Caenorhabditis elegans: one gene and its partners. The protein of the gene in region 1 interacts with the protein of each later gene in a pairwise test. Each region holds a gene or a part of one and is shown in the gene's direction. Other genes may lie near its edges. The genes, in order: tag-325, chtb-3, nhr-251 and F21H7.3.

Evidence for each region.
Region 2: the proteins of tag-325 (region 1) and chtb-3 interact in a two-hybrid assay, tested with the Caenorhabditis elegans proteins (one large-scale study listed by BioGRID).
Region 3: the proteins of tag-325 (region 1) and nhr-251 interact in a two-hybrid assay, tested with the Caenorhabditis elegans proteins (one large-scale study listed by BioGRID).
Region 4: the proteins of tag-325 (region 1) and F21H7.3 interact in a two-hybrid assay, tested with the Caenorhabditis elegans proteins (one large-scale study listed by BioGRID).

Annotation. Positions count from the first base shown.
Region 1 is NC_003281.10:4,794,365-4,803,638, forward strand, and holds tag-325 (WW domain-containing protein tag-325), read left to right. Parts: upstream 1-2,474; 5' UTR 2,475-2,546; coding exon 2,547-2,642; intron 2,643-2,694; coding exon 2,695-2,843; intron 2,844-3,204; coding exon 3,205-3,379; intron 3,380-3,451; coding exon 3,452-3,870; intron 3,871-4,266; coding exon 4,267-4,741; intron 4,742-5,205; coding exon 5,206-5,421; intron 5,422-6,190; coding exon 6,191-6,300; intron 6,301-6,384; coding exon 6,385-6,563; intron 6,564-6,758; coding exon 6,759-6,885; intron 6,886-7,364; coding exon 7,365-7,546; intron 7,547-7,599; coding exon 7,600-7,853; intron 7,854-8,071; coding exon 8,072-8,212; 3' UTR 8,213-8,543; downstream 8,544-9,274. Other genes in the region: mip-1 (HTH OST-type domain-containing protein), read left to right, coding at 1-57, 105-209, 260-510, 710-916; rRNA N(6)-adenosine-methyltransferase metl-5, read left to right, coding at 8,643-8,742.
Region 2 is NC_003284.9:6,313,172-6,322,340, reverse strand, and holds chtb-3 (EB domain-containing protein), read left to right. Parts: upstream 1-2,694; 5' UTR 2,695-2,787; coding exon 2,788-2,851; intron 2,852-3,579; coding exon 3,580-3,808; intron 3,809-4,302; coding exon 4,303-4,361; intron 4,362-4,409; coding exon 4,410-4,699; intron 4,700-4,754; coding exon 4,755-4,818; intron 4,819-4,865; coding exon 4,866-4,922; intron 4,923-4,977; coding exon 4,978-5,052; intron 5,053-5,392; coding exon 5,393-5,640; intron 5,641-5,695; coding exon 5,696-6,349; intron 6,350-6,466; coding exon 6,467-6,575; intron 6,576-6,621; coding exon 6,622-6,732; intron 6,733-6,779; coding exon 6,780-7,187; intron 7,188-7,234; coding exon 7,235-7,343; intron 7,344-7,388; coding exon 7,389-7,534; intron 7,535-7,580; coding exon 7,581-7,708; 3' UTR 7,709-7,812; downstream 7,813-9,169. Other genes in the region: npr-38 (G-protein coupled receptors family 1 profile domain-containing protein), read right to left, coding at 8,644-8,710, 8,895-8,996, 9,043-9,159.
Region 3 is NC_003283.11:597,988-603,784, forward strand, and holds nhr-251 (Nuclear Hormone Receptor family), read left to right. Parts: upstream 1-2,543; 5' UTR 2,544-2,607; coding exon 2,608-2,695; intron 2,696-2,740; coding exon 2,741-2,806; intron 2,807-2,865; coding exon 2,866-2,949; intron 2,950-2,996; coding exon 2,997-3,226; intron 3,227-3,638; coding exon 3,639-3,865; intron 3,866-3,911; coding exon 3,912-4,113; intron 4,114-4,165; coding exon 4,166-4,240; intron 4,241-4,288; coding exon 4,289-4,348; 3' UTR 4,349-4,482; downstream 4,483-5,797. Other genes in the region: srlf-37 (SXP/RAL-2 family protein Ani s 5-like cation-binding domain-containing protein), read right to left, coding at 5,678-5,797.
Region 4 is NC_003283.11:16,231,107-16,237,804, reverse strand, and holds F21H7.3 (Serpentine Receptor, class E (Epsilon)), read left to right. Parts: upstream 1-2,634; 5' UTR 2,635-2,679; intron 2,680-2,738; 5' UTR 2,739-2,869; intron 2,870-2,906; exon of another isoform or gene 2,907-2,943; coding exon of another isoform or gene 2,944-3,124; intron 3,125-3,167; coding exon of another isoform or gene 3,168-3,478; intron 3,479-3,524; coding exon of another isoform or gene 3,525-3,881; intron 3,882-4,464; 5' UTR 4,465-4,549; coding exon 4,550-4,848; intron 4,849-4,896; coding exon 4,897-5,110; 3' UTR 5,111-5,154; downstream 5,155-6,698. Other genes in the region: F21H7.5 (Major sperm protein), read right to left, coding at 1-59, 107-190; srh-98 (Serpentine Receptor, class H), read left to right, coding at 2,058-2,502, 2,570-2,634; clec-233 (C-type lectin domain-containing protein), read right to left, coding at 2,944-3,124, 3,168-3,478, 3,525-3,881; gst-22 (glutathione transferase), read left to right, coding at 5,534-5,693, 6,221-6,698.

The DNA of each region.
Region 1 (9,274 bases):
TTCGGTATCAAATACCAGTTGTTCGTCCGATAGTGTCTGTCGCAGAAAGTATGAAAGGTATTTACATTTGAAAATAATTAGTAGATTGTAATATTTTATTTTAGGACTCACAGTGAGTGCCCGTAGCGTAATGGGAACTCCAAAAGATCTTCCTGGTGTGTCTAACCCGATTAAAAACACAGCTCGGGGAAGTAATAAGCCTCGAAATGGTAAATCCAGAAGTTTCCATTAAAAAAAACTAATAATTTTTATTCATCAGATCTGGCATCTTCGAAAGCGAGTAAGGATCTTGTTGTTCCTGTGATGAAAACTACGTGTATCAAATCACTTGAAGATACTTCTACCAGTAGTTCGAATCCTTCAACATTGCAATTATCTACTGCCTCTACCTCTGCAACAGATCAGAAACTGCCAAAAATGAGCTTTGGAAGACAGATAGAAAAAGGATCGTCGATTCCAGGGAGACATATATCTCTTGCTCTCACGGAAATTAAAAACCAAAAAGTTATTGTGAGTAATTTTCTTGCTAGATTCCATTAATTATAATATACCAAGTGCGGTATCGTTCCGTTTTCGGATCAAGACTAGCTTTTTGTTGTTTTATTGCTAAAATACTGCAATTTTTATGTTCATTAAAACAAAAACAATATTTTTAACTATGCTAGAAAATACCATGCCGACTGTGATGAATAAGCTAAATGAATTTCAGGCGGCTTCTATTGTTGGAAAGAGTGCCAAAACTTCTACAAAAGTGCCATCCACGACTAGAAGTGTAGTTCTCCCACCAATGTCAAAAGGACCAGGATTGGCACGTTCTCGTAACTTTTCACCACAACAATCGACTACATCTTCAATTGATAATGAGTGTCTAGAAGCTATCAATGCTGCGTTGCCGTCGGATAAGGATAGTTGGTGATCGAAATTTTACGTGCTTTAAAATATCCTGTTTATGTGTTTTTGTAAAATTATTTTTTAATTAGTTTTAATAGTAACATTGTTTTTTTTATATTTTGGATGCGAGTCATTCACGAATTTTACTATAAATTTTTTTTCCGGTGCATTCTATTCTTGTTTCGCATAATTAAGAAAAATGTGTTCTGAAACATGAAAAAATATTTGTTAGCTTAAATAGCGTGACCCCTTTAGATGCAAAATTGTAGAGTAGCTGTGAGAGCTCTTCCGACGGGCCACTCAAATAATTGAAAGCGAAATGCAGTTTCTCTTTTTCTCTTCCCCAATGCATTCAGTTTCCTATTTCTCTGCCATGTCAAGATTGGCATCAAACGATGTTCGAATATGGGGGAAAACTGGGGCGGTCGGCTTGTGCACACAGACAGACCCATAAAACATGAATTTATTATTCTACGCGCACGCAAAACGTGGCACTATAGAGACTAAGAAACTGCAGGAAATTCGTTTTGAAGATGAGATAACATCAACGAACGGTGTAAAACATAGAGACAAAAAGTGCTCTGGATAACGACGCGCTATATAAGATTGACCCTTAAGGGTAAAAGAATTCTTATCCAAAAATGTTCTCCAATATTGATTTTTAAGAGAATATTATATTTCTATGCTGTCTAGTGAATAGTTTTTCAATTTGGCACATTATTTAGTAAAATATGTTGAAATAATGAAACTATTTATTAAAACAAATTTTTGAAGTCTAAAAAGAGCCTTTTCACTAGCTAAACCAGTAAATACCTCTAGTCACGGCACTATCAGGTTTGTACAATGACTGTATTTCTTTAAATCGATTGTCGTCTGTTCGTGTGTCTGTATCTCCAATATTTAGCCCCAAGACACTGTCTCTAACCTCCCGAATGAGTGAGAGAACACACGGCGAGTTTTTTCTGTATCACTGTCTGCGTATCTTACTCTTCCATTCTGTGTTCTCTTTTCTCCAGTCGGGACAAGGGAAATACGACGGCCGGATGAGTCATCCCGTGTGTGCCTCCTTGTGATGGTTTTTTTGGTGCTTTTCTGTTGGAATTGTACAAAATTTTAAATTAAAACTGATTTATAAATAATTTCAGCTAATTTTGAAATTGGACAGCTGAAATGAAACAAAAAATCGGAAATTTTGCTTATCAATTCCGTTGGTTGATTAAAATATGTTTCATTTTAAAAATATTTCGTAAGATATTCTTATGGGTATAAAGTTACGAAATGTTCAGAAAGTCACGGAAATTCGAGAGAATCGATTCAAGTGGAAAGAAATGTATCAAGTTTCTTAGATATTTAGAATACTTAATTGTTGTCTTCTTCTCTTTTCGAACATTATTTAATTATCTTAACAACCTAATTATAATTTTTGTTTTCCCATTTCCGGATCAATCTGCTTTATTAAATATTTCGGTTTTGTTCTATAAACACTGTAAAAACAAAGTCAATGGTCACATGATCTTTCTCTTCTTTTCCTCTCCTTACCATGCTCTCCCTCTCCGAATATTTTAGCAATTCGTCCTTTTTGCAGTTCGTTATCATTCTCTTCAATGCCTCTCCGGTGGTGTTAAAAGTGATTTATTATCGATTTTGTTCGTCGGATGATGACCACCGCTGTTCAGCCGTCAGATACAACTGGATTCGGCGGAGGACCCGCTGGATCAAGAGCTTCGGATCTTATTCAGTTCCAAGAAATTGTTAGTTTTTCTCTCTCATCGAACGCGAGAAAAATAATTTTATTCATTACAGATGTCCGAATCGGCCGAATCCTCTTCGTCATCTAGTCAAACGAATGTTAGCGCCGCGAACACATTGCCACGTGAAAGTAATGGACAGAATTACGCTGACGATCCATCACATGTGTATACAAATATCAGAGAAATCGAAGAATTAAACAGGTACGGGAAATATCTGAAATGATTCAGGTTTAGTTATAATGTTTTGAAAAATTGGAATTAGTGTGCAAATCGTGGGTGAAGCATTTGAAAAAGAGGTCAAAAATGGTTTGAAACTTGCCAATCTCTGAAAAATTAAGTTCGATAATTGGTAAATGACAATTTCAGACTATGTTTAAGCACTTTTTCAAATTCTTTCGTCAAATTGAATTCTTATTTTCAATTATATCTATTATTTTTCCATATTTTCTCACTAATATTTATGAAAAAATGTTGGAACAACACCTGGAGCATTTTTTTAATCACTGATGATTATTTAATTTTCATTTTTGATTCTAAAATCATCATAAAACATTTTTAAAAGCTTCAGCCGACCGGTTCCACCGACTCCGCGAGCCGACGCGCAGCCCCGTAGAGATCTTCTAAATGGTTGGTTTGAATACGAGACCGACGTCGGACGGACATTTTTCTTCAATAAAGAAACTGGAAAAAGTCAATGGATTCCACCGAGGTTTATCAGAACACCCGCACAAGTTCAGGTATTATTTTTTACTTTTAAAAAATTAAAATCTGGTAAGATGTTATAATTTCATTCAGTTTTCAATTTTCAGGAATTTCTTCGTGCAACAAGAACGAATCTAGATACTACATGCAGTTTTCAAGGATCCTCGACATCTTCATCAGAAGAACAAAAAGAGAACAAAATGCGTGAATCTTTAGCTGATGACGACAGAAAAAGTCAATTGATAGAAGATGAAGAAGTGTTTGATGAAGTTTGCGATGACGTGGATGAACAATCATCACCTGTAATTGATCTTCAATCACGGCCTCTTCCAATTCCATTCTCTGACAGTTTTACGGATGATGAAGATGAAGATGATGTGAAACCTATAGAAGGATCCATAGCTTCAGATTCCGATTTTGACGAAGAACCTGTTCCAACATCATCAAGAAAAGCTTCTACAGCATCCGGAGTAATGATGCCACATCCCTATGCACATGTTTCTTCGTTTCAATCAACGTTTCCAAGGTTGGTTTTACAAAATTTGTAATAGTGGAGCAAAACGAAAAAAAAATCATTAAGTTTGAAACATGGCTAACTTTAGTGAATTTTCAGTTGTGCCTCATTTGAATTACCGCGCCTCGAAACTCCGCTAATTTTTCCGTTTTTCACTTCGATTTTCTCGACTGGTTCAGACAAAAATAATATTTTAGGCGAAACGTAACTGCCATTATAGGCATAAAACCTTCCTTTTCACTTGAAAATTCAAGGAAAATGAAGAACTTGCGGCAGTATTGAGAACTACAGATGCAAAAAAAGTTATCGGCATTTGAGATCAACCTGAGTATTTTTGAGTGAAATTCCCATCGACGCTACCCCTAAATTCAATAATGTTATATCCTATCACTAAAGTTACATTTTTAGGGCCAAAAATGAAGACACTGACAAATTGGCTTCGTATGTGATTCCCCCAGATGCCAATGAAACATCAAAAACTCCCACCGCAATCCGTGTCCGTCGTCCATCTCCGACGAACCTAAGATCGGTCTCATTTCAGAACAAATGTACAGTTCTAAAAAATGTTCCAATGCCACAAGTGCTGCCGACAACCTCATCAAGTTTCGATCACCATCCGCAATATCACTCTAATACGCCGGATCGGCCGATCCTTATGGAAGATTCTGCCGATTTTACACCATCATCACGATGTGAAGAACGTCGAGGTAGTGGTGATGGACGTGAACCTGTTCGAACGATTCGATGCGGTGATTTGGAAAGAAGTGAAAATGATGAACCAGCAGAGAAAGTTGTAAAGCCAAAAAAACGTGAATGGATCACGAACTACATGTATTTAACAACGGCTCATCTCATTTTGTATAAAGACCAAAAAAGTGCAGAGGTAGTTTTTTTTATGTTGTTGATAATTAACGCAGAAAAAAAGATTTAAGAAATTTTAACAAAATGTGCAGAGATGATGTATTATTGTCTGCTTTTTGGAAGTTTTTCTGAAAATGATCTGAAAATGTTTCATCCACCTCGGTCAAAAAATTGCACTCTTCTTCAGAAACTAAAAATTTCAAAAAGCTTCCGAAATGTTTGCTTATCTCTAAACAGCTTAAAAATGATCCGAAGTTTGCAAAAATCCACTTTTGGAACAACTCGACTGATCATAAAAGTAGTTGAAAAGTTTGTTGATAAAGTTCAGATGGTTCGAGTGGAGTTTTTGCAGCTTAAATATTTATATACATATATATCAGCTCAGCCTAAACATAATGTTTCAAATTGAAGTGCCATATTTTGTATATATTTATTTCCTTTCCTTGTCAGTAGATCAACCAATACCAAATAGTTGTCAACTTTCAGAAACACGGAAAACATTATGATGCTCCACAAGGAGTATGGGATTTACGAGGAGCAAGTGTGACATGGTATCAAGACAATCGGGATGTACAAAAGAAGAAACAACGGAAATATATTCAATTAGAGCTGTGTAACACGAAGAAATACCTGTTACGAGGTCCCAATGACACGGAAGCCGTCGAATGGTACAAGTCACTGGAAGAAGTTGTCGCAAAGCTTGTAAGATTTCTTTATTTGAAAATTATCCAGAAAATAGACAAAAAAAATCAAGTGTTTTTGTTTCATTTTTCTTTTTCTCCCGCCCTTGGCAGGTACAATTAAGAGATTATTCGGCTATAAGCTACTTTGCCAAGTTGTTTCCAACTTTCTCAAGACTGTAGAAATAAGAATTCACGGCCGAAGTTTTTCTCCGTCTATTATTGCAAAGTTTTTACTTGTTGTGTATTCTCAAAAAAGTACCATGTGGCATACTGCTTGCTCCAGAGTCCGAATGTTGAGCCTGCAACGGTCAAATAGTGAGGTGATTCATGGGAGAAAATTCTGAAAATCCTATTAAGCTGGATTTTCGCTTGAAAAATATCTAACCCGGTCTCAACACGACCGAAAATGCTGAAATGAAACAGTGTGTGCGCCTTTGATAATTACAGTAGTCCCGCTATTTTACCATTTTCCTGCCTTTTCGTCTAAAACCTTTTTTTCCTTTTTTTTTTGTGACACTAATCAAAAAATATTGAAATTATAAAAAATCTATCTAGGAAAATTAAATAAATCTTGCTGTTTTTCAATTTTCTTCGACTTATCTTTTTTTTTTTAATTGTGCATACAATTTCACACAATAAAAGGTTTTTTGAGAAAAACGAGAAAAATGGACTATTGTACTTCTTAAAGGCGCACAACTTTTTTCATTTAAACCTATTCGATCGCGTCGAGACCGTATACTGTTTTTTGCATCCGATTATAGATTTCAAGACTATGTATATCGTTTCAGCCGTCTCCTGGCTCTTCAAACCAACCGATGATTGATGTAACAAATGGCGTTGCTCGTAATCCGTCATACATTGGCAGCACGCGTCCACTTTCCCATGCATTAATTCCAATGTGAGTTTTTTTTTCAAAAAAAAAAAAATTGAATTCAAAATTCTGAGAGAACCATGTCTTATTGAAAATGTTTTGTTTTTTAAGAAGCCGAAGTATGCGACGACGTGATGATCCAATGTCACAATCTGCAATTGAAACGGTATCGACAAGTGTATCAACTGATGAACCAAGACCATCAAAAGAGACGATCATTGAGAAGTTGAGAAGATTCTTCCGAACACGCCCTACAGTGGAAAGTCTTAAAGAGAAGGGAATATATAAACGTAAGATTGGAAATATATGCAAACCAGCCGTGGACCGCACCTACGGCGCGGCCCCCGACTTTTTTTTTTGAGAAAATACAATTATCATAAGGTTTCCCAAATTTCCGTTGCTCTGTCAAAAATCAAACTACATAGTGACGGAACGACACGCGCTTTATATATAGTAAATTGATATTGAAATAAGAATCATTTCAGCTGAACCAGTATTCGGATCAACTCTTTCTGCAATCTGTCAACATGAAAACTCGTTGGTACCGAAGTTTATTAGAGTTATCACTGAAGTTATTGAGAGTAAAGGATTGGAGACAGATGGAATTTATCGGTTAGTTTATGAAATTGGAAAAAAATTACATGAAGTGTCGCCATTTTGTGAAAAAATGACCAAATGCCATAACAAAACACATCTAAAAATTTATTTACTATCAAAAGGGGTAGACCTAATAATTTTTTCCGAAAAACATTACCCAGATGCGAACTGTTTGCGTTGAAAAAACTTTTCCCGGTCTCGACACGATTTTTTAAAATTTAAATGATTGTGTGCCTTTAAAAAGTACTGTAATTTCCAACTCACAGTTGCTGCGGTTTTTCGATTAAAATTTATTTATTTGTATTCAAAAAAATTATGAAAAATCAACATCAAAATTACTGTATTTTTTAAAGGCACACTTTAAAAATTATAGTTTTGGAATATCTTTAAAAAATTTGAACTGTTACGAGAGTATTCTCTAACTGTATTTTCAGTTTTTTAAAGGATGACTACCAAATAAAAATAGCATTGAAACTTGAAATTTCTTATTTCAGAGTGAGTGGAAACCTGTCCGCAGTCCAAAAAATTCGATGTCAAGCTGATCAAGACAATTATAAAGCTCTTGTGTCTGAAGAAGATATTCATGTTCTTACTGGTGCTCTTAAACTCTTTTTCCGAGAGCTAACCGATCCACTTTTCCCAATTTCTCTTCATAAGGAATACACATCAGCTATGCGTAAGTTTTTTTTTTGAAGTTTTAAAATGTCCTAAACCAATTTTCTATTCCAGAAATGCCCAACGCGACCACTCGTTTCAAAAAATTCGAAGAACTTCTAAGTCGACTTCCAAACGAGAATCGTGAAACATTGAAAATGTTACTTCGTCATTTGAATCGTGTAGCCTCGCATTCATCACAAAATCGAATGCAACAACATAATCTTGCTATTGTTTTTGGTCCAACACTATTCCATAATGGTGATGGAGCCGTGAATTTGGCAACCAAAAATAAGAAAGCTGGAAAGAAGGCGAAACCTTCGAAAAAGGTTTGTAAAACTTCATTTATTGAGAATGGAGTGAAAAATCTTTAAAAAATTGATATAACATATCATTAAACAAATTTTGAAATTTTTTACAGTTATAATTGGTCATTACCGTTCATTTTCTATATTCACCAAATTATTTGTAATTTAAGTTATTGAAAATTGAGTCAAAACTCAAAAACCAACTGATATTCCTTGTTTAAAATACTTATAATTTCCAGGAAGAAACTCAAGCAACTCCTGTCCAATCGAATTCTCATCTCGCCTTCTCAATGATTATGCAATCCCAAATTGTTCAATATCTTCTCGAATCGGCCAACAAATTTGATATTCTCAAAGCTCCAGTCAATATTGGACGATAATCTATAGATTTTTCAAATTTTCCAAAAGAGTTGTGACCTTATTTCTCACCGTTTCACTTTGGGTGTTTTATCGCCGAAAAATGGGTATTACTTTTATCGTTTTCTCTTATTTTCTTTCTACTTTTTTTTCCTTGACTTTCGGGATTTGATCAATTAATGTTGTAAATATGTACTGTAATATTCATTTTCCTCAACACATTTTCAGTATGCTAGTCTTTTTTTTTCATCCGTTTACTTATTACAGTCTTCTCCTTTTACGCTTTATTCTTTTTTTATGTTGTATTTTCAATCTTCCTACGCTCAAACAAGATGAATAAATTGTGATAATTGTAAACGAGCGCGGACGATAAAAACTCAAAGTTTAGCTCTTTTTGGCATATTTTTTTGGAATTGAAGAAAAGGAAAATACGAAACACTAAAATTTTGAAAGATGCCGGATAAAAAGACACTTTGGATGCTCAATGAGCTCGAAGGATTCGAAAAACCAAAAATCAAATTGGAGCAGTATGCCACGTCATCAGAGCTTGCCGGTAATTTTTTCCTAAAAACTGCATATTAATTGTGGAATAATTTCCTCAAATGTGCTCTGAGAAAATTGAAAAAATACCGAAATTTACCAAAAATTGAAATTTTCCAAAAAAGAATTTAAAAGAAAAAACTTGAAAGCCTAAATCAGAGAAAACAGTCTCAATAATAAAACTTTTAAAGTTTAAAAATTGTTTTAAACAATTTTTGGTTTATTTTTTTCAGAGAATAATACCATTTTTCGAAAAAATGCAATCTGTTTTCAAAAATCCTTCATAATATGACTTCTTCAATCGAAAAAAACTTTCAAATCTTTTTTTGCAAAATCACAAATTGAAAAATTAAGTAATTTTTCACAGTTATATTCGGTTTGTTACTATTATCCATTTTCTGTAATTTAAAATAAAAAATCAAACATTCTTCTTTAAATATAGAAAATCTTGTTCAAGCCGAACATAATTATTGTTTAAAGAAAAGAAAATCAAAAAATTTGTTCCGCCTATATCATGGCGCTTTCTTATGTTTTCAGCTTTCAAA
Region 2 (9,169 bases), on another chromosome or scaffold:
ACTTTCAGAATTATGTCACATAGTTTTCCCATTTTTACTGTAAAAAAAATTAGAAACGTTTTATTTGGTATTCAAGATAAACTTTTTTAGCTTTTTGAAACTCAAAATGACACCACAAGATCAATCTTCATAACGAGAATTTTCAACTTTTGATCAAATTTTTTTAATGGTGGTTCAAAATTTTGAGCAAATTTTAAATAGCCTTATTATGAAATTCAGCTTTGAAGAATATTTATTTTCCAAAAAAGAAAAGAGTGTAATGCACAAGTACTTGAATATATTCGGAGATGTAAAAAGTTTGATTTTTTTATCAAAAAAAAGACTGAAATGCATAATCTAAAAATTTTGGGGCAATTCTTTGGTGTCTTTTTGAATATCATAAAAATCAAATTATAATTTTTTTGCAGATCAACTTATGATTTTAGGATATCTTATGGCGGTGATAAGCTGGTGGGTAACAAAACACAATTATCAAATTTGCATTTAATAATTTTCTTCCTTTCTAAGTTTAAGTCTTTACACTACTCAATTTCAATAAGAATTTCAAATAGAATTAATATCGTCCATCGCGGCACATATGTGATGTTATCTTGAAGCACTTTAATGCATTCTTGTTTTTTTTTTGATGTGTAGAAATGACACGATAGGAACTACCGTTTCAGTCCCCGCTAGTAAAGGAAGCTCCGTGAAATTACCTTCTACTATTTCTACGACACAACAACTTCCTATTTCCTTGTTTCTTGTTTTCAAGGTAAGCGATTTTATCAATTAGAGAGATATGCTTTTCCGGCAAGCGTTTTGCGACCTTGGCGCTGACCCTGGAAAAAGGAAAAAGGGAAAAAAAAAACGGCGCCGTCTTGCTCTGAGATTGACATCTAAATGACCAAAGTTAGAAGTTTCCAAAGTTGCAATGATACATAGAATTATAGACTCTAGTTAAAGCTTGATCTTCGATCAGTAAAACTTCAGCCATCCGTAGATGTAACAGAATAAAAACGGTCTTCAGTTTTTTTAATTGGCCGACTATGTCAATGACGCAACAAATCGCAGCTTATCGCCGATAAGAAAGATATATTGAGGAACACCACGTACATATTGCGGACACTTTCTCCTCATCAGCTTCCACAGTTGTTCTTCCTTTCGAGGTTCGTTCTGAACCCTCATCATCAGCCTTAGTATCTCAGCCGCTCCTTCATTAGGTCTACACTTGCCATCACCCACACCGATAGCTGCCCTTGAAAAAACCGGCGTCACCTCAAACCTTGTCTGCGACTCATTATCTTCATCATCTTTTCTCGCTTCAACCCAAGCCCCGGAGGACCGCTTTCTTCTGTTTTTTACATGCGCTGGGAAAGAGAGAAATGAGAAAAAACCCTATCTGTTCGGTTTTTTTCTGTTTCACTTCCTCGAGGAAGTCATTAAAAAATGCCACCAAGGTGGTAGGGATAAATGAAAAAAAAAGAAGCGTAAATAAGGAAATTTGGGTTTTTCGTCGACATTTCAAACATTATCAAAACACCTGTCAGCTATAATTGTATTAATTCCCAAATAAATCGAAATTAGCAAGTCGCCGTAAATGTCGTATTTGGAACGGTATTAAACATTTAATAAGTGACGTAATCTGCTTGTTCCAATCAGCATCAAGAGGAAAAAGTCTACAAAAAACCTTCATCTCACTATGGGAATTAGAACAGTGAAAATTACAAAAATGTCGTGGTATATCATCTGGGAAAAAAGTTTTTTCGGGTAAAACTATCTGCATGAAATGATCAAAAAACACTTGAAAATCCGACAAACACAATAGATCAAGTGGTTGAGAGATGTGCTCCAGCATCGTGTCTATCCGGAAAATCAAAAACGTGCCCTTTCAGTGTTTTCCGCCAGGGCCGTCATAGCAAAGAAGATTATGGCGGCAACATGATGGTCTGAATTGTGCTATTCTTTCATTTGGGTACAATTGTTTTTTGTGCGTTGTGCGTCTATGAAATTGAAACAAAGTGGAAATGAAATGAATGTGCCAAGGAAAAAAGGAATTAAAGAAAGTATTGAAAAGTTGAAAGTTAATCTGCAAAATAAATAATATATGTAGTGCCGAATTTGGAAAATCACATATTTTTTGGCCATACTGAAAAATTGCGATTATTAAGTATGCCGAAACTGATTTTGAACTCAGTGTCTGAGCAACTTTTGTAACTTTTCAATTAAAAGTAATGACATACTAAAAATGTAAAAAAAACACATGTAGTAGCCATATTCCTAAAAAGTTGTTTTATTAAAAAACAAGTATGACCGCTTTACAGTGTGAATTTCGGAAATAGTAAGTTTTTAACCTGTGTTGAACAAGCCTTAAAACATATCTTTATTCTAAAAAAGTTCATAAATTTTTGGATTTGCAGAACCTCAATGGCTCATTCCTTATTACCAGAACCTCCCTTTGCACTCAAATCGGGTTAATGTCGTCATTCATAAATGAATCAAGTAAAACTGTTTGCAGATTCGACATGACTCATACTCCTGTAAATTGTCTAATTTTCACCAACTCCTCATATTTTGCCATGATATTTCCGCATCGCGAGGGGGTCTTCCATGTGCGTCGGCAGAGCGTCTCTGCGGAAACTGGTCTAATGCTCGACGAGCCGATGCCGCCTCATATAAACGGACGTGCTGCGATATACAGTCTCCGGAAATCTAACATAGCGAGTCAAGAAATCCAGACAGTTTGTCTCTATTCATTCCATATTTTAAATTATATATTTTATACTAATTTATTCATAATTTATATATGAGATGGAGTTATATATTTCTATGTTACCATTTTTAACTATTTTGTTACTGCCACACCCTTCACAAGGTAAATTTTTTCGTGATATTTTGATTAATAGTATCAAATCACTGTATCAAATCATATTTATCTAGACACATTGTGTCAAAAGAAGTCAAATAGCATTCTGTTATTATTATATGATTTAAAACACAGATGAGATATTAAACTATAAAATTTTGATAATCTTAAATACCTTAATTGGAGCATATTTCTTTCCTTTAAGTTGAATCTGGACACGAAATTTGTCATTCAAAAAGAGCAGATTTCTCAACAAACAAAAAAGAGTTCGAATTTCTTGATTTCCACCGCGCGGACGGAAAGAAAAAACAAACGAAAACGTTTCAAGTACTTTTTCTCGTCTTTGTAGTCTCCTTCTAGCCTCTCATCATAAAGTTATTCAGGTCAATTACGAGCAAAATTGATTCATGATTTTCAATTAAAGATGAATCCCATCAAACTTCCGCGTTCCAGTTTATCTAGTTCAAGGGCGACAAATAGTAGTAGTACGCACAAAAAACCGTTTCTGTGGTGGCTATCACTTGCAAGATCGGTATCATGTCATTTCTGATTTTAAATCCCAAGGCATTCAAGAACATACTCAAGGTCGGATTCGCTTAGTGGCATCTAGAGGTTCAAAGAACCAAACCCTAAGACAGAAAAATGAGTAAAAGGACAGTGACAAGTGAAACATCACTATAAACTAAAAAACTTATAAACTTAACTTCGAATCGGGCACTCAAATATTTAAATTTTAGGGATCGAAAACTCTCCGTCCGCTGGAAAGGTGTGCATGACAGTTGAACATCTAAGACCTGCGGATAACTCGACACAATTTTACGAGTGTGCGCCACTCAATGAGGATGAAGTAAAAGGATACGCGCTGAGCAAGAAATACCTGGGTGTCTGGAACCTACGAGACTGTCCCAAGGAACACGAGTTTGACGAGCCGAAACAACGATGTATCGAGAAGAAGACATTCAGAAGGTGAGTTTTGAAGAAGGAGTAGGAAACATTTTGTAGATAATTTTACGTAGAGAAAAAATCTGAATTTTTTAGAGTTTCAGCGATTCCCCCAAACTTAATATTCTTTTTTCAAAAGTGGAGTAGGGCCAGTGGTGGTGAAATTGTGAAAAAAAAACTGAGTGGTGAAATTGTGAAAATGTGGTGTACAAATTACCAAATATCACAGTGAAACTGTTTACATAATTTGAAAAAATTATCTATTGACAGTTAAAAGGTGCATACAATGATTGAATATCAGTATGTATATGAAACATAAAGAAACCATTAAATTCAAAAGAAATAACTTTCTAATAGACGATTTCTAAAAAAAGTATCAAAAACTGATTACCACTTTCTGAAACAATATAAAGAATTTCTCATTTTGGCACCAAAAGAGTGGTTTTTAACAATTTCCCCACTGTCGCAGTTTTATATTTAAGTAAACTTCTTCAGAACTCAGAGTAAATATTTTTTAGGCAACAAGTCGCTTGCGCACAAAATGTTCAGGCATCCGGATGTGTCTCTGCTTGTCAAGGTATTTCAAAAATTGATTGAACAGAGTCAAAAAGTCTTCTTTATTCAGCCCCAACCGCAGTTGCTAACCAGGGTATGGAATGTAATTGGCGTTCGTCCCCACTTCAACAAGATCCTGCAAGCAACGCATACTTCTTCCAGTGCGTCCCATCCTCGCCTACTGAAGGATGTGGAGAATGGACACGTATGCAATGCTCCCAATCGACAGTTTTTAATTCTGATTTGAATGTTTGTGTACCACTTGCCATCCAGAACTCATGTGATAGTTCCACCCAACAGCCTGTTTGTAGCTGTTCTCAAGTTTCCAGCTCTTGCCCAGGAACTTCCCAATGTCAAAACGTAGGTTTTGATGTATATTAGGAATTAAAAAACAAATTTTAAAATTTTATTACAGAAAGTTTGTTGCCAACAAACGGATACTCTAAACTTGAACAATTTGATTCAACATCAAGCTCCCCGTAAGTTGAAAGATTGGAAAAATACCTATTTCTTGATCATTTTACAGTCTGCCCCGGTTCAAATGTGCCACCACTTGGTTCATGCAACGAGCAGTGTCCGCAGTGTGAGAAAAAAAAGCTAACAACTAAAACTTCTAAAAAACAATGTAAACATTTCAGACTCTGCTTGTACCCCAGGATTGGGATGCTGCCCAGTTCCAGTGAATGAGCAACCAACAGGAATGATTAAAATTAGTAAGTAAATATAAAAATATTGCTGCGAGCACTATTGACTGTGCACATTGTACACTTTGCGGACCTTGCGGACTTCACTGTCCTGCAAATATAAAAAATTGTATCGATTTCTGGGACTGTATGTTGTATACATTATGTGATACGGTTTCTTGCAATTTCAAATAAATTTCTGTAACCGTGCCCAAAAAATAAGTTTTCCATTTATTTTTATTAAAAATGGTAATTTGATCAAAACATGAGGTTACGTTGCTTAGCCTAAAGTTGTAAAAGAGATCACGGTATTTTTCATCAGTTACAATTTTTTGAATCTTGGGCATCTTTTTCATACGATTTTTTCCAGCTCTCTGCCCTGGCTCTTACTCCCCACCGTTTGGAGTTTGTGGATCTTGCCCATCTGGAACACAATGCAACCAACAACTTCAAATGTGTTGTCCTCTACAACAACAACCATCCACAGATATTGTCTACAATGTTGTACTTCTTTGTCCTGACGGAACACCATCGACAACTTCTTGCTCCAAAGGATGTGGGCCAAACAATGCTTGTTTCCAGGGAGCTTGTTGCCCGATTCGTTGCCCAGTTGGACAGGTGGGCAATTTCTTATTTAAATAAGAAAGTACAAAAGTCAAATATTAAATTTTAGAACGCTGTGGGATTCTGCTCTTCTGGATCTTGCGGAGTTGGAAGTTGTTACTCCAAAACAACATGTTGTCAAGAGCCAATTAAACTCCCGGTGTGCTCGAACGGCATGATTTCTCAAAAACGTTGCCTGGTCGCAGCCGAATGTGGCCTGAACCTTGAGTGTTCAAACGGTGGGTGCTGTCCAATACCGTTCTGTCCAAATGGAGTAACAGCCCGTGGCCGATGTTCTCAAGTGAACGGATGTCCAATGGGGCAAGCTTGTATGGAAGGTCTTTGCTGTCCACTGCCAAAATGCTCCAATGGTATAACATCTCTCGGAATTTGCACAAGAACCTTGGATTGTGGTCGAATCGGTGTTGACTGTAACAACGGAGCATGCTGCCCACTACCAACTTGCCCGAACAATATTGCATCGTCACAAAGATGTTCGGGTGGATGTACGAACTGTTGTCCAGTAGGACAGACATGTATGAACGGTGGTTGCTGCGATCTTCCGTCGTGTCCATCTGGTGGATTTGCAATTTCAATGTGCACTGGGAAATGTGGAACTGGCTTTGAATGTGTGAACAGCGGTTGTTGTTCTCTTCCAAGATGCCCAAGTGGTCTAATGTCGGTTCAGAGGTGTGCAATGGGAATCGGGTGCCCACCAGGAAATGTAAGTTTTGGGTTCAGTTAGTTTATTACGCAGCTTTCAATTTTTTTTACTACTGACGTTCAAAATTTGATAACTACAAAGCACGACTCGACAATCAAACAAACAAATTTTTTGTAGCAATGCGAAAATGGTGTTTGCTGTCCAATGCCAATGTGCTCCAGCGGAAGTATTGCGTCGTCTGTTTGCGGAATGGCTAACTCTTGTCCGATAGGTTACATTTGCGAAGGTTGTTTTTTCTTACTGAAAAAATTAAACAAACATGTTTCTTGCAGGCCGCGGATGCTGCTTGGAGCCACTTCCTTTGTGTCCAAATGGAGGAAGAGCTTCAATGAGATGCTATCGGGGAGCAGAATGCCCACCAGGTTATGGATGCACTCCACTAGGTACTTAAAATGAATTCAAAGAAATTAATCTGAGCATATACTTACAGGAGGTTGTTGTCTTCTCTCAATGGAACCAGTGTGTCCAACCAGATCCAACGCAGTTTGCCAATGCTCACCCAACAATGTTTGTCCGTCAGGCGCGAGCTGTACTATGGGCACGTGTTGTTCGAGCGGAATAAGCCCTATTGTCTCGTTCAGTGTTCCTGGCACAAGTTGCCAGAATTCGAACCAGTGTAATGGATTCCAAAGCACGTGCGCACAATGTGTTCAAGAAGTTTGTTCATGTGTCAATGGGGCAGCGTCGAATGGAGCAACGTGTGAACAAATGGCACCGACAGTTTTGACGTTGGCAAGAAACGGATGTGATCAATATGGTTCTCCATGCAAATTCCTTTTGTCGACAGCACGACGACGCCCACTTTTTGCACCGATTGGCAATATGACTGAAACTCCACGTAAGAATAGTTATACGAGTATATTTTCAAAAGTTCAAAAATTACAGTGTTCTTCAACGTGGCATCCAAAAGAAAATGTGTCGCCAACATTCAAAATTTTGATGCCGACTCAACATGTCTTCCAAACGAAAAATGTATTGACGGAGAATGCAGGATGTAATGCTCTTTAGGAAGGCAATATTTATATGGTTTTTTTTTCAGGAAACTGTGGCCTGGAGAATACGGTTGCCAAACCGACATTGAATGCCAGTCTAGATGCCCGAACACCTACTGCGAAAAGAAGAAGAGTGATAAAAATGTTCCACAATGCCAATGCACGAATGGAATGCTTCTCTATGGAAGATGCTGTTAGTTTCTAAGAACCTGGAAGTTAATGTCTAATTTCTGTTTCAGTCTCCCAGTGTCCACGAGGATTCCACGAGTCTGGAGCATTCTGTATGCACGACGATGAAGACAAATTTTGGATGGATGCTGAATCCCAAGATAATCTGAAAGCTCTTTTAAATGCTGGCAAATGTTGATCTCATGAAACGCCAAAAGCTCCGCTATAAATGTATATATGGACTTATATGAAAATGTATTGATGTTTAATTAATATTAACATGAAATAAAAATATTTATCCGCAATATTATTGTTTTCAAACCTCATATGACACCTGAAAAAAAAACAAAAAAGTCCTAGACCTGGATGCCAGCACAGTAGAGTATACCTACATTTTATTAAATGTTTATTATAATAAATCAACTTTAAAATACGTCTTAAAGATGAAACATGAAACATAGCGGGTAATGCCGGTTTCATCAGTCTGACGCATTTTGGCTTCAAGACGTCAAAGTTAATTTTGAATAGACTTTGACTCTCAAGAAAATCTGAAATCTCTTTTCATTGCTCGTAAACGTTCGTCTCATGAAAACGTAAGTGCTCCGTTATAATTGTGATTATGGAACTGTACAAAAAAGTTTTATTTTTATTTTTTTAAGAAAACAATTAAATGGAAATATAACTTATCAGCAATATGATGTGGTCTTACAAAATAAAACCAAATGGAAAGAAAAGAGAATTAAACATTCGGATACAGTTCAACATCAAAGGTATGTAAAATTTTTAAAAATCCGTATGAACAAAAATATGAAACCAGTTGAAAGAGTGAAAAAGATCGTGTTTCTATATTGAGATAACTATGTCTTAAGTATAGTTTTAGATTTCACGTTCTGTGAAATGTCGGTGAAGTTTAATATTCTATTTAGTTTTAACAATTGAACAAAACGTTAATATATTTGATCATTTAAAAAATCTCAAATCTAATACTATTCCTAAACAAAAGGTGTTGGGAAAATAGTTGTCACACATCTCGCAGTTAACTGATATGTTTAGATCCAATTAAAACAATTTCCGGCCTAATTTCTTAAAGTCTAATGCATTTTTTGAGAAAATGACATAAATGGAACGCCGCATTCAATCGTGAGAACAGTTGTTACTTGAATCGCCAATGATGTTCAGAGGGAGGGATCTGAATCTGAACCTTTGAAATGCTTTAGTGAGATGCTCTTAGAAACAAAGGACCTTACGATAGATGCATGACACGGAGACATGAAATACAAAGAGATGATAGACAAAAACGAACGCTGTGAGGCACGATAATGCAATTGTGAAACACCCTACTGTCATATTCACACTGTGCCTTACATCTACCGATTTTCACTTACCTTGTTCTCGGCTGATTTGCACTATCTTTTCCACTGATTCCATCTTTGTATTTGCACGACAGAAAGCACAACTTCTTTTTCATTTCTTTGCGAAAATGTTTACTGCAACAAAAATAAAATTGAATACCTAGAATACTCTACTCCTTACCTGCTCATGCAAAAAAGTATGAAATTTGCAACTTTGGAGCATGTGACAACGGTTGTGGAAACTTGAACACTTGTGTACATCCATCTTGTTGAGTAAAGAACGTTATGAAACAGGTTGCTGAAATTAG
Region 3 (5,797 bases), on another chromosome or scaffold:
GTTGAATGCGTTACTTCACCGATTTACTAATCTCCGACTATGATCTTGAAACGTTGCATTGTTGACATTTAAAAAATGTCAAAACAAAACTACACACAATAAGTGATTAGTTACATCTTCATATTTAATTTTTTCTTTAAATCTGAATGATTTCGCGCAATTGTGACAAGTGCTATGTATGTATCTCAATGAATAATGGAAAATATTTACCAATTTTCCTTTAAACAAACAAAACAAATGCACAACATGAATTTTAAATTTCAAACAATGGAGACAATGGAAACAATGGTTTTGATAAAACAAATATCAACTGATTATATTGATTTTTGCCTTGAATAATTTTTTAAAGATCACTTCTAAAAGACATACGTGATTTTCTCTGAGAATGTTCATTGAGGAGGGCCCTCGGTGATTTTTATCTCGACCGTACTATTCGTATTTTGTGTTAGTTTCTTTAAGAATAGTGTACTAGGGACTGGACGGCATTGTATTTTCAAAGATGGGAAAGGACGGTTACCGTATTCTCACTTGAAAAGATAGTGCTGGAGCGTTGTAGAATTACAGTAGTGACTTGAGCTCAGTGGTTAGATAAAGTCGGGGTATGGTAGTAGTACTGTAGGTGTACTATACATTTAGAAAAATTACTCTTTGCTTTTTGAACGACCAGCAGATGGGGTTAGGAGGGACTATGTAGAGTACTGTAGGAGTGTTGTAGGGTTACTGTAGCAGTATTGTAAAGGTACTATAAATGTATTTATGATGTACTTCAGGAATTCTGTAGAGTTACTGTTGGAGTACTGCAAGGGTAATGTAGATGTACTTTTAACATATTTTCGGTGTACTGTAGAAGGACTGTAGGGGTACTGTAGGATTACTGAAAGTCTTAGAAAAAGTTGGGGCTGTCGTTTTTTTGTTCTTTTGGTTTTATTTTTTTGGTTTTTTTGACCAAGAAATATACTGCTCTTCAAAAATGTTATGTGTAGTCGGTATAATGAAAAAGTGGTTTTTTTTTCTGTTTGAATATGAAACAAAAAATTGTTTTTTTTGCTTTTCGGCGGGGATACAGTGTCAAGGCTAGTGATAACGAAAAGATAATGTGTGCTAAACTCAAAAACTGAGCAAAATTGATCGTTCCAGACTGGAACTTCCAGTGTACAAAGGTCTAGGGATGTTTGGGTAGCATGCCTGCTTATCAATTTTGACAAAAACCTACAAATACTGACTACCTACGCCTCTTGTCAAAAACTTACGTGGTGTTTGTTTTTTAGTACATACAAGAGCCTTATCTAAAATTTATATATTTAAATTTGACATATGTAAAGCAATGAGAAATAGGTACGTAGGCAGCCATGATAATTGTGCATGCCTGTTACGATGTCCCTAGAAGCCTAAAAGGTGACAAGAAAGTCAAAAGACCAGAACGGGCCTTAAAAAATTAGGACAGCTCCTCACAAACTTTTTCCTCACGAAGAAGGTCGTTGGAAGTGATGTTTCAATACACACTAACACGAAAAGATCATATCAGTAAGTGAAAAAGGCGGTTTCTTCTATGTAATTAACTATTCAAACACTGAAGTATTTTTGCGTCAAAAAGTCTAATTTCGAATAGTTATCAGTATCATTAATAATTTTACGGCTGAAAACCTGTAGATCATAACGTTTTAATTCATATAAAATTTTCCGACAGCACTTTTGAAAAGCGTGATTTTGCCGAGAATCATCAAGGACGTGAAGGATCTATCGAAGGATCAAGGCAAAAGGTGAGTGAAGTAGGGCGAAAAATGGGGGGAGTTCCGAAATTCCGGTGTGAGATTTTGAGTCTCGATGAGTTGTAGATAAGAACGTACCTATAAAGAACCGAAGCATCGCACGCAACTTAGTCTATTTTCATTTTGCATTTTGAAATCCTATCGTATTCAATTTCAATTTCATCGCAATGAATCGTAAAGGAGGTTTGTTTTCAATTTTCCCGGAATTTTCCGATTTAGCTTCCAATTCAGTTCTTTGTCGGGGTACTGTAGTGGTATAGTAGCTGTGCTGTAAGGTTACTGTAGTAGACTGTAGGGACACTGAAGAAGTACTGTATTACTGTAGTTTTAAAGAAATGATATTTGCCATTTGAGTGGATACTAAAAAGTTGGAGCTAGTGGATCAACTCGGCATTTGGCTTTAGCTTCTTGCTTAAGGTTGGCCCAAAAATATTAACTTGGATCTGAAGTTAGCTAAACTTGGGCAAAACTTGGATTCAGGCTACATCACAGTTTAACCCAAGTTTCACCCAACTCTTGCCAAACAAGTTTGAGCCAAAGTTAGGCAAGCGTTGGTGGAAATTTGAATTAACTTTGATGTAGCCTGAATCCAAGTTTTGCCAAAGTCTTGCTTAACCTTTGCCCAAGTTTACCAATCTTATGATCCAAGTTAATAATTTTTGGGCCAAACTTTGGCCGAGAATAGCTTCGGGGTATTGTAATGGTACTCAAACTGAAACGGTAGAAGTACTGTAGGTGTACTGTCCTTTTAGAAACAATTACCTGATAGCTTTCAGATCCATGCCTAGTCTGTGGAACAACTCAACGAACCAGCTAACATTTTGGCACCACTTCTTGCATGGCATGTGCTTCGTTCTTCCGAAGAACCGTCTCATTCGGAATTCGCTTTTTGTGCAAAGAAGGAAATCGTTGTCCAATTTCGCAAGGTAAGCTTTAAGATCTTACATATCTGGTTATGACTTCAGTTTTAGAAATTCGCTTCTTCTGCCGCTCATGCCGATATGACAAATGCATCAGTGTTGGAATGAATAGAGGACGTGAGTTACTTTTATTTCTCTCGATATCTCATGTTTTATTCGAAAATTTAATTTTCTAGAAGTACAACAAAAACGGGACGATAATAATGTGCCGAAATATGTTTTGGACTCTAGAAGGCTAGGAATTCAGGAGATTGTTAGAGGTGAGCATTTTGAGGGGTACTGTAGAAAATTATTCGGTCTGTTTCAGGATACACTACTTCAAGAACTGTCCCTTCTGAGCCTGCTGAACCAATCAGTCCTGGCTCCACCGGTTCAACCGGATCTACAAGATCATCTTCTCCAGAAACATCTCCAGCTGAACCATCAAAGAAATCTGAATTCAGTATCATTCTGAACACTTATCCTGACGATTTACTACAGTATTATGTAAAGCAGGTGGAAATGTCAATGATTCACAAACAACTAGGGTTATTGAAGGTTAGTTTTGAAAAAAAATTCTCCAAAATTTTTAGCAAGCTCTAATTTTTTTGAAACGTTTTATCTCAAAAATTTGTTCTATGAAATTATTTTTTTTGATCGGCGACTTCCAGAAAATTGGTGAAAACTGAGATTTTACCAATTTTTAACTCGAAAAAAATTCAAATTTTTTCCGTTCCTTTTGTAATAGAAATTGGCGGCAATCGAACATTTTTTCCAATTTAAATATCATTTAAAAATTTGTTTTTTTTCACAAATTTTGAGAAAAAAAACGAATTTCTAAATTGGTTATTTATTTTTTAGAGTCCAGGGCTAAATTCAAATAAAAATTTCAGTTATTTTAAATAGCCCTCCGATTGTGATTTTTTTTTTGGAAAATCTTTTGTAAAATTTTAGGGATTTTTTTTTCCAGAACACCCTTTTAGTAAAATCTGTCGACGAACTAGTTGATATATCTGAAACACTGAATGACTTATCAATGGAAGCATGCATGAATTGCCCAGGCGTTGATATTTTGAGACAGCGAGATGTTGAAGTCATTCTCAAATCGTTTCATTTTGCAAATGTTTGGATGGACTCCATTTGGGCGTATTCTAGGCACAACGAGTCTATTGTGAATAAGTTTTTTGAAAATAATGGGTTTGTGAAATTCTTTGAAAATTAAGACTATCATCAGGAGTTTCAGACCATTATCCATGTTCATTAATCAAATAAAATCCACTCTCGGCTCTTCACTTTCTCAATTAACGTTTAATATTTACGAGTTTTCGGCTCTAAAAGCTTTCTGCGTCTGGAAACTTAGCTACCATGACTCAACGATATCAATTAACATTATGGCAGAAGAGCAATATATTGGAATTTGCTCAGCGCTACGAAAGCATTATGAGGTACTTTGGATCCCTATGCCTTATTTTTTAAAGAATTTCCTAACATTTTCAGGCAACTACAAACATGACCGACGTAGATATTGCAATGAGAATTGCTGAAATCACATTGCAAATTGTGCCAGCTACGGTAAATTTACAACATTTAAACTAAAAATAATATTTGTTTCTTTTTCAGACGATTTACCAGGACATGATACGTTTCTATCAACAGAATGGACTCATCGATAATCTTTGAAATTTTTATATATTTTTCTCTGAAAAATGATTGATCTCAAACTAATTTTAGAAGATATTATTTTCAAATACTATGTATTTTATGATCATTATTCTATTAAAGATATTTCAAAACATTAAAAAAATACTAATAAAACTTCTTTTTCACCTTTCTCATTCGAACACGATCGGCTGAACAGATCATTTTGTAAAATTGCTCCCGCTTCTCGCCCGGAAGTCAATTCTTACAAGGTTGCCGGACAGGCATTGTGGTTCGGGGGCACATACTATACAAGTTTAGCTCATCACTTTTAAGGAAAGCCGTGAATCTACAAGTATCGAGAAAAATTCCAAAAAAAAAAGTGGAATTTATTTCATATTGGTCCATCACCGTTTTCAACCACCTACAAGAAGTTTTTTGATTTTATTGAAAATAGTTTTAGACAATTTTGAAACGTCATAACTTGGCCAAACCTTTTCTTCAACAGCAAAATTTTTTGGAGTGCTCACTGTAACAATAACATTTCTACAGTAACCCATATCTGCAAAATGATTATAAAATTAATATATGCTTTAATGCACAATACTTGGTTTTGCATTTACCATACGAAGCTCGAAATTATAAACAAATTTTGATAAAACTTTGTTACTTTATTTTTGATTTTTGTTTTCTGAACATATATGTACACCGTTTAACATTAGAAATTGGAAAACTACCGATGACGGAAATATCCTTTAGAAGACCATGTAAAATTTTTATCAACATTTTGGGAGTTGGATGAAAATGAACCCGATGTTTGCTTTATTTCGAAATGAAAATGTTGAAAAATTTTCATTCATAATACTATGTAGTGTTTACAAGTAAATTTTAAAAAAACTTCTAAGTCTATCTAAATTATTTTATTTCTGTTAGAAGATTTCCCAATACACTATGTACATACATATACTACCAATTTTGAAAACACCTCGTCTGAAAATATTTCATTTTACCCTTTTTCGGACTTTGAACCACCATAATTTTTTTGAGAAATTTTTGAGAAGGCTCATTATCAAATTTGTTCTTTTAAGGTCATTTCAAGCTTTCTCAAGCGAAATTTAAAATTCGGTGCTCTCAGCGGTGGGCAGAAATCTAAACATAGAGTTTAAATTACACAACAATTAGACATTATGAAAGGTTTTTCGTTGACAACTTGACGCTAGAGAATTTAGACAGAATTTGAGGCTAGCTCTAGTGGTATTTTGTGAATATGTCCCCATATTTTGTTCTTTGGTCTGTGCAAGTTTGCATAATCAGAAAAAATGTATAACGTATTTATTCGATTGAATTGCCCAATAAAAACAACTTAAATTTTCAATTATTGTTTCTCGCCTGTCTCATGGACATTTTTCTAATATAGAACAGAACTGGTACTTCTTGTGGATATTGATTAGTAAGAGATTGAAGAGCTTGCTGCTGCTGTTCTCCAGTTTG
Region 4 (6,698 bases), on another chromosome or scaffold:
GACTTCGAAGAAACACGCGAAGACTTGGATCCGGAACCCTTCTTAGTCTTTTTACGGTCCTGAAAATCAAGATGAAGCTTGAGCTAAAGCAACTTGAAACACTTACCGCTTGACGATCCTTGCTGGAGCACATGGCAAGCACGGTGCTAGTAGCCGAGGCGGTGGCAATCACAGAAACCAGTGAGATCATCGTTTAGATCTTTCGATTCCAGCTGGTACTTCTTTATCCGTCGAAAAACTCCAATTTATGGAGACAAGTATTGAATACTGATTTTGAAAACTGTGATTGGGGGGGAGGGGGCGCTGATAAGATCAGTTCAACCTTTGAAGTTTTGTCACGTTTTGAAATTTAAATCGATTTTGTTTTTAAGTTTTCTTCACAAATGTTTTCTTAAGTTCACGTGTATGAAAATTTTTAAATTTTTAAAAATTTTGGCGGGAATTAAAATTAAAATTTTGTTTTTGAATACAAAAATTTAATTTAATTTTTTTTCAAGTTTTGCTGTGAAATTTGCATTTTGATATTTCAGAAATGTTTTTTGCAGCGAAATTTTAGGCTTTCAAAAAATTTTATAATCCAAAATTAAAATTTTCAAAATTCAACGTCACATTTTACGAGAAAAGTCTCGAAATTCAAGATTAAAATTTCTTTAAATTAGGGTTTAAATATTTCATAAAATCGGAAATCAAAGTTTAATGACATCAAAAAATATTTGCGGGAAATGTTGAATTTTAATTTTCATAAAACATTTGTGTGTAGCTTAATTTGTTTTTCTAATCTTTTCAAAAAATCGTGTTCGTTTTAAAAATTTTACTAAGAGGTACGCTTTTACAGGACGTGTGGTTCGAGAAGTGCAATTAATTCAGTGATATTTAAAAAAAAATTATTTGAACGTCACATTATAAATAAATAATATTAACTTTTCGTGTACATAGGCCATTTAGACCAAACGATAATTCGTTTTTGTGTTTAGACTTTCCTTATTTACGTTGCATTAATTTTTCCCATGCTATTTTTTCCTCGGAATGGAACAACAACTCTAATAAGACTATTGCACTTTTGTTATGCTCAGGAAACCAATATATCACTCAGCTTCCAAAAGTTATTCTTGTTTTCACATATGATTTTGGAAACAGTAGAAGAATATTATCAATTGCAATATCCAAAGTGCAACACTACAAAAAGTTTTCTGGCTTCTTGGAAAAGAGTTGCGTATCCTCCTCAAATATTTCAAATTGTTGCGTTTCCCCTTCAAATTATTTCTTTTTACGCAATTTTGTATGAAACCCCAAAAAGTATGAATAGCACCAAACATTTGTTGATAAACCATATTGCAAGTGCTCTATTTGATTTTATATTCTGTACGCTTTCAACTACTTATGTGATTCTTCCAATGCTCGGATTTTTTGGAGTTGGTGTTTTCAGTTGGATGGGGATTCCATATTCGGTTCAATTGGCTTTTATTGTTATTACAGCGTTGTGTAAATAAAATAGCAAAACTCAAAAAAAATCGAATTCTCACGTTCGTCTTAAAAAAAAGCTATTTGGCAGCGCCCGACAGCTTCCGGGTCATATTGCTTTCTGCAAGAAGGCGCTGTTGATTCTTGAGCCAGCTAGATGTCGGGCGCTAGAAATTCTACATGTGTTAAACAGAAAAGCTTGATGTATGTACATTTATTTTTAAAATCGTAAAATATTCATCACAGTATTTTCTTGAAAAAATGTTTTTTTTGGTTACCAAAACCAAGTAAAGATTTTGGTTCGCCAGTTAACTGGTTGTAATAGCTTTCTAATTATTTTGTGGAATTCGATTTAATTTTTCCATATTTTCTTAGTTTACTAGTATCGAATGTTAATTTCAGGCGTTGCAAGTTCGTATGTGTATCTTCTGGAAGGCCGGAGCCACAGCCTTCTCCAAAATAAATTCAGAATTCAAAGCACTAAAAGGAGAATAATTTATCACTTTTTAATTTTTCTCTCCAATGGTATTTCGCTAACATTATTTCTAATCAATGTTCCAAGTAACCAGAAAACAGCCAAACGTGAAGCTCTGACTATGTATCCTTGCCCCACGGAAGAGTTTTTCATATTCCCGATCTACATTTTGATATCCAATACAAATAATCTACACTTGGTTATTTACGTCTATATACCTTTTTTTGCTCTCAACACACTGGCTCATTTTTTATTTCATATCTGGTGCACTGTGTACTACCTTTATATAGCACCTCCGAAATCCGTTTCCATGGCTACTCAACTTTATCAAAGAAATTTCCTTGTTGGCACTTTGCTCCAAATTTTTACACTGTTCTCATTCATGACGCTTCCTGTGATTCTTGTCGCAGTTTCTTTATATTTGAACCGATATTCTCAAGAATTGATGAACGTTGCAGTGGATTGTATTGCATTGCACGGAATTGTAGAATGTATTGTGATACTATCGGTTCACAAACATTATCGAAATGCCATGAAATTAATGATCAATCGGTGGTATAACCAACGTAAGAACTTTTTTCAAAATGAAATTTCGAAGCAGTTTAAATTATCATCAACTGCAACTTTTTTCAGCGTGTAACACTAAAGTCCAATCAATCCCAGTGCAGGTTACTTCCGGGTATACATCACGCTGTTGAATGCGACGGCGCAATCCGCAAAGCGTCGGCTGCAGTAAATAGAGAGTGAGGAAGTTGTACATGCGTACTGTACACTTTTCTTTGTAGAAGATTTAATTTTTTAGTAATTGTGAAGGAATGAATATGTACGTTATATAACGCATGTGTAGTCTGAAATTGATATTTGAACAACGGAACTTTTAAACCCGTCTGTTCCGTTTGCAGCCGACATCGAACAAGTTTTGCGAGAGACCAGGTATACTCTACTAACTTAGACAATTACAACAAAAAAATACGAAAGTTTGAATAATTTATTGGCATGCTTAACGTTTAACGTGATACACCCCTCTTTCCACATACGTACATTCTTGTAAATGGGTATGCTTGTGCGCCACACTGGTACTTGTCTAAATCTCCATTGGTGAAATAGTTTTTCCATACAGCGTAATCATTTGGCCCCACCACCCAGTTTGGTTGCATAATAAATTGTTGAATACAGATCGTGGGCCCTCTAATTTGTTCTATGAAACTTAATTCTGAAACGTTTTACTTACGGCCAATTCAGGTTATCAGGTTCGTCACGTCCCCATTTGAATCCTCCATTGCCAGTTGTGTCCCCATCGGTCCAGGTGTAAGTTGCATATGGTTCACAGCTTGCAACTTTACAATTCGGGGTGTTAGTTGCTCCGAGCCAAAGCCCGGCAATTTGGCCGCCAGCTGCGGTGAGCTTCTTCAATGCTTCAGAGGCAACTGTCATACGCTCATTGTCATTTTGGAATCCGGTTAGAGTAGCTCCCGACGCAGAACAAGCAGCTTGAGCCTGTGGCTGAGAGAAATACCCATTTGTTACTCCACTATGAACAACCTGAAAACATGTATGTCATCTTTAGTAAATGAAGCCAAAAACTAACATTAATACACCAAACACCATTAGGTCTTTCAAAACGAAGCCATCCTTCATCGCACTCAGGTCTTGGTGGGGGTCTTGGTGGTCTATGTGGTCTATGTGGTGGTCTATGGGGCCTGTGTGGCGGTCTATGATGGCCATGCTCTTCGGACGATGAGCTAGACGAAGACGAAGAGTGGGAGTAATAGCCTCCCCCACCTCCACCACCTCGCCCTCCACCGTCAATAAAAATTGCAAGCGTAGAAGTTGCAAAAAGGAGGAATAGAATAGCAACCCTCATTTTTCTGACTTTCCGGCGCAGAAACTCTTGCTTTTTGTAGGAAACAGGCGGTTGGTAATAAAAAATATAATAAAACGGCATCACCAAACCGGGATTGTAAAAAAACAGAAAATTGTGGTTAACATATTTGAGTTTAGTTTGCATCTTACAATTAAAATGTTTTTCAAAATAATTTTGCAGTGAACTTGAAGAAGAAAATTAATTACAGTTTAAAACCATTAGGTCTCTTGAACTCAAGCCATCTACTTTCACTAGAGCGGGGGTCTTAGAGCCTTTTTCTATGTCGATGTTCTTCTGAGCTGTCTCCAGATTTCACAGGATTTTTGTGCCGAAGGAGAAAGGTAAAACAGTTAATACTTTAAAACAAAATGTTAACTCTTGGAGTGTTGTATTCACATTTGAACTATATTGAATGTATTTCTCACGGTATATAGGATGTTGGTGACTCGAAATGAAGAAAGCGCGGGCAGATATGTAAGTCTCAGAACATTGACATGGGTTAGAATAAGTTACAAATCCTGATAGTTTAATCCCGTAGGTCAATGCCAGTACACTTAACATACATTATTCATCTCTTACTTTAGTGTAATCTGTGACTAAAATTTGGTTTCTCTTCTTTTCTCTCTCTCTCTTTCTCACTCATTCAAAAGTTCCGCGAACACAGGGACTGAGGAAGTGATTGATACCACTCTATTTGATAACAATTTGACACAACTAATTCAACCTATTTTCAACTTTTCTCTTCGACCATGACACACCATATTTGTTACTTGGTAATTTTGAACTTATTCTTCCTTATTATTCCAATATGGTTCCTATCAATCGGCTTTAAAAACCAAGGAAAATGTGAGAACCCGCTTCTTCCATTATGGCTTATTTTTGTTGGTATTTTAATTATTATTGATAGAATTATTTATTGGAAAATTCTATTCAATAAAGTGAAGAAACTCATGGAGGATGTTCCGCAAGATGGAAGAAAGAAAAACTGGTTCGAAAATTTTTGGTGGATATCAATAAAATATGCGTTGGAAGGAGTCATGTTAATAGCGTAATTGATTTCAAATTTACAAATGTCTAAAAACTAGAAAAGTTTCAGGGTTGCCCTTGGAGCTATTTGGAGCTATGAACAACTCGGCCGACCGATTTATTTATGCAAATCTTCTGTTCTTTTCTCGGTTTCCGGATTTTGTATTATTGCTTCCATAACTTATATAGTCTCCTTGATAGGGACTATTTATATATTTTGCATGAATTGTAAAGCAAAGTTTGATAGAAAAGTTACAATGTGGTTGTATAGTTATATTCTATAATTTAACATATTGTATAATTTGAAAATGCATCTGTTTTGCCGACATGACATTGTTTTTACAAGCAATTAAAAATAACACTTAATTTTTAACAAAAACAAAAGGAATAGTTTTTTTTGTTCAATCACAGCTCTCGTTTTCTGCTAAAAATCCATAAAAAAATTTCTGAAGATCGTACAGACAGTATCACCCATTAGTACAGTCTTCATATGTAAACCAATAAAATATAATAAAATCATGATTTCATTTAATAGAGGTATGAATCATGCAATGATTTCTTAATATTCACATAATACCTCCACATTTTGAACTGTCTCTGCAGTTTTTTGCGATAAGGGGAAAAGTTGCAATCGCGATAAGAGTCATCGATAAAGGTTGGTAAAGGTATAAATTCTTTATTGATTCAACTAACTTCACAAATAAAATATGCCCTCTTACAAACTGACTTACTTTGATGCTTGTGGGTTTGGAGAGTCAGCACGAATGTTATTCCATCTTGGTGGGGTACCATATGAGGATGTTCGACTGCCGACGATCAATGCTGTTCCGGGATTTCAAAGTGACGAATTTTCAGCGTTGAAAGACAGTGAGTCAAACTAATAGCCCACTGAGCATAGTCCACCTTTAAAGAAACATGAGCCCTTCCACTTTTCGGCGGAAAATTCATATTCAATCAGAAAAAAGTTTTGCTAGGAAAGGTTTGGAAAGTTGTGGAAAAACCGATAAATTTTTGTGATTTTCTCGATTTTTCTGAACATTTCGGGAAACTTCTTGAAAACTTAAAATAATTTTAGAATCATCTGGATATTTATGGAGTTTTCAAGAAACTCCTAGAAATTTTTGAAATTTCATGAGACTTCTTGACACTTTCTGAAAACTTCTGGATAGTCATGCAATTTTTGATTTCAAGGAGATGTCATGGTAATTCTGGAATAAAAACATTTGGAAATTTGAGGAAATTTTTGGAACCTTCAGACAATTTTTGATGACTTCAAGAAGCTTCCAGGAAACTCAAGAAACTTTTTGAAATTTAAAAATAACTTTTGACAATTTGACAATTTTAGCTGAAAGAATTTTGCTAACCAGACAATCAAAAAATTACATTGTTTTCAGAGACCCCATTTGGCCGATTCACAGTTCTTTCCATCGACGGTTTTGATCTTGCTCAATCTTCTGCAATTCATCGTTATCTGGCTAGAAAGTTTGGCTACGCTGGAAAAACACCGGAAGACGAGGCTTTTGCTGATTCTATCGTTGATCAGTTTAATGAGTACTACGCGTCACTCCATCCCTACCGTGATGCCGTGAAAACTGGAAAAACAATGGAAGAAGTGAAGCAAATTCATGACAAAGTTTACATTCCAGCAAAAAACTTAATGTTCAAAATATTGACTCGAATTCTTAAAGAGAACAAATCGGGTTTCCTTGTTGGAGATGGATTGACTTGGGCAGATCTGGTGGTGGCTGATCATTTGTATACTCTGACGAATCTCAAGGAACTTGATCCAGAAGATCCAATTCATTTAACTTTGAGAAAATTCCAGGAGAAAATATTTAATCTTACCGAGTTGAAAGATTACATCGAGACAAG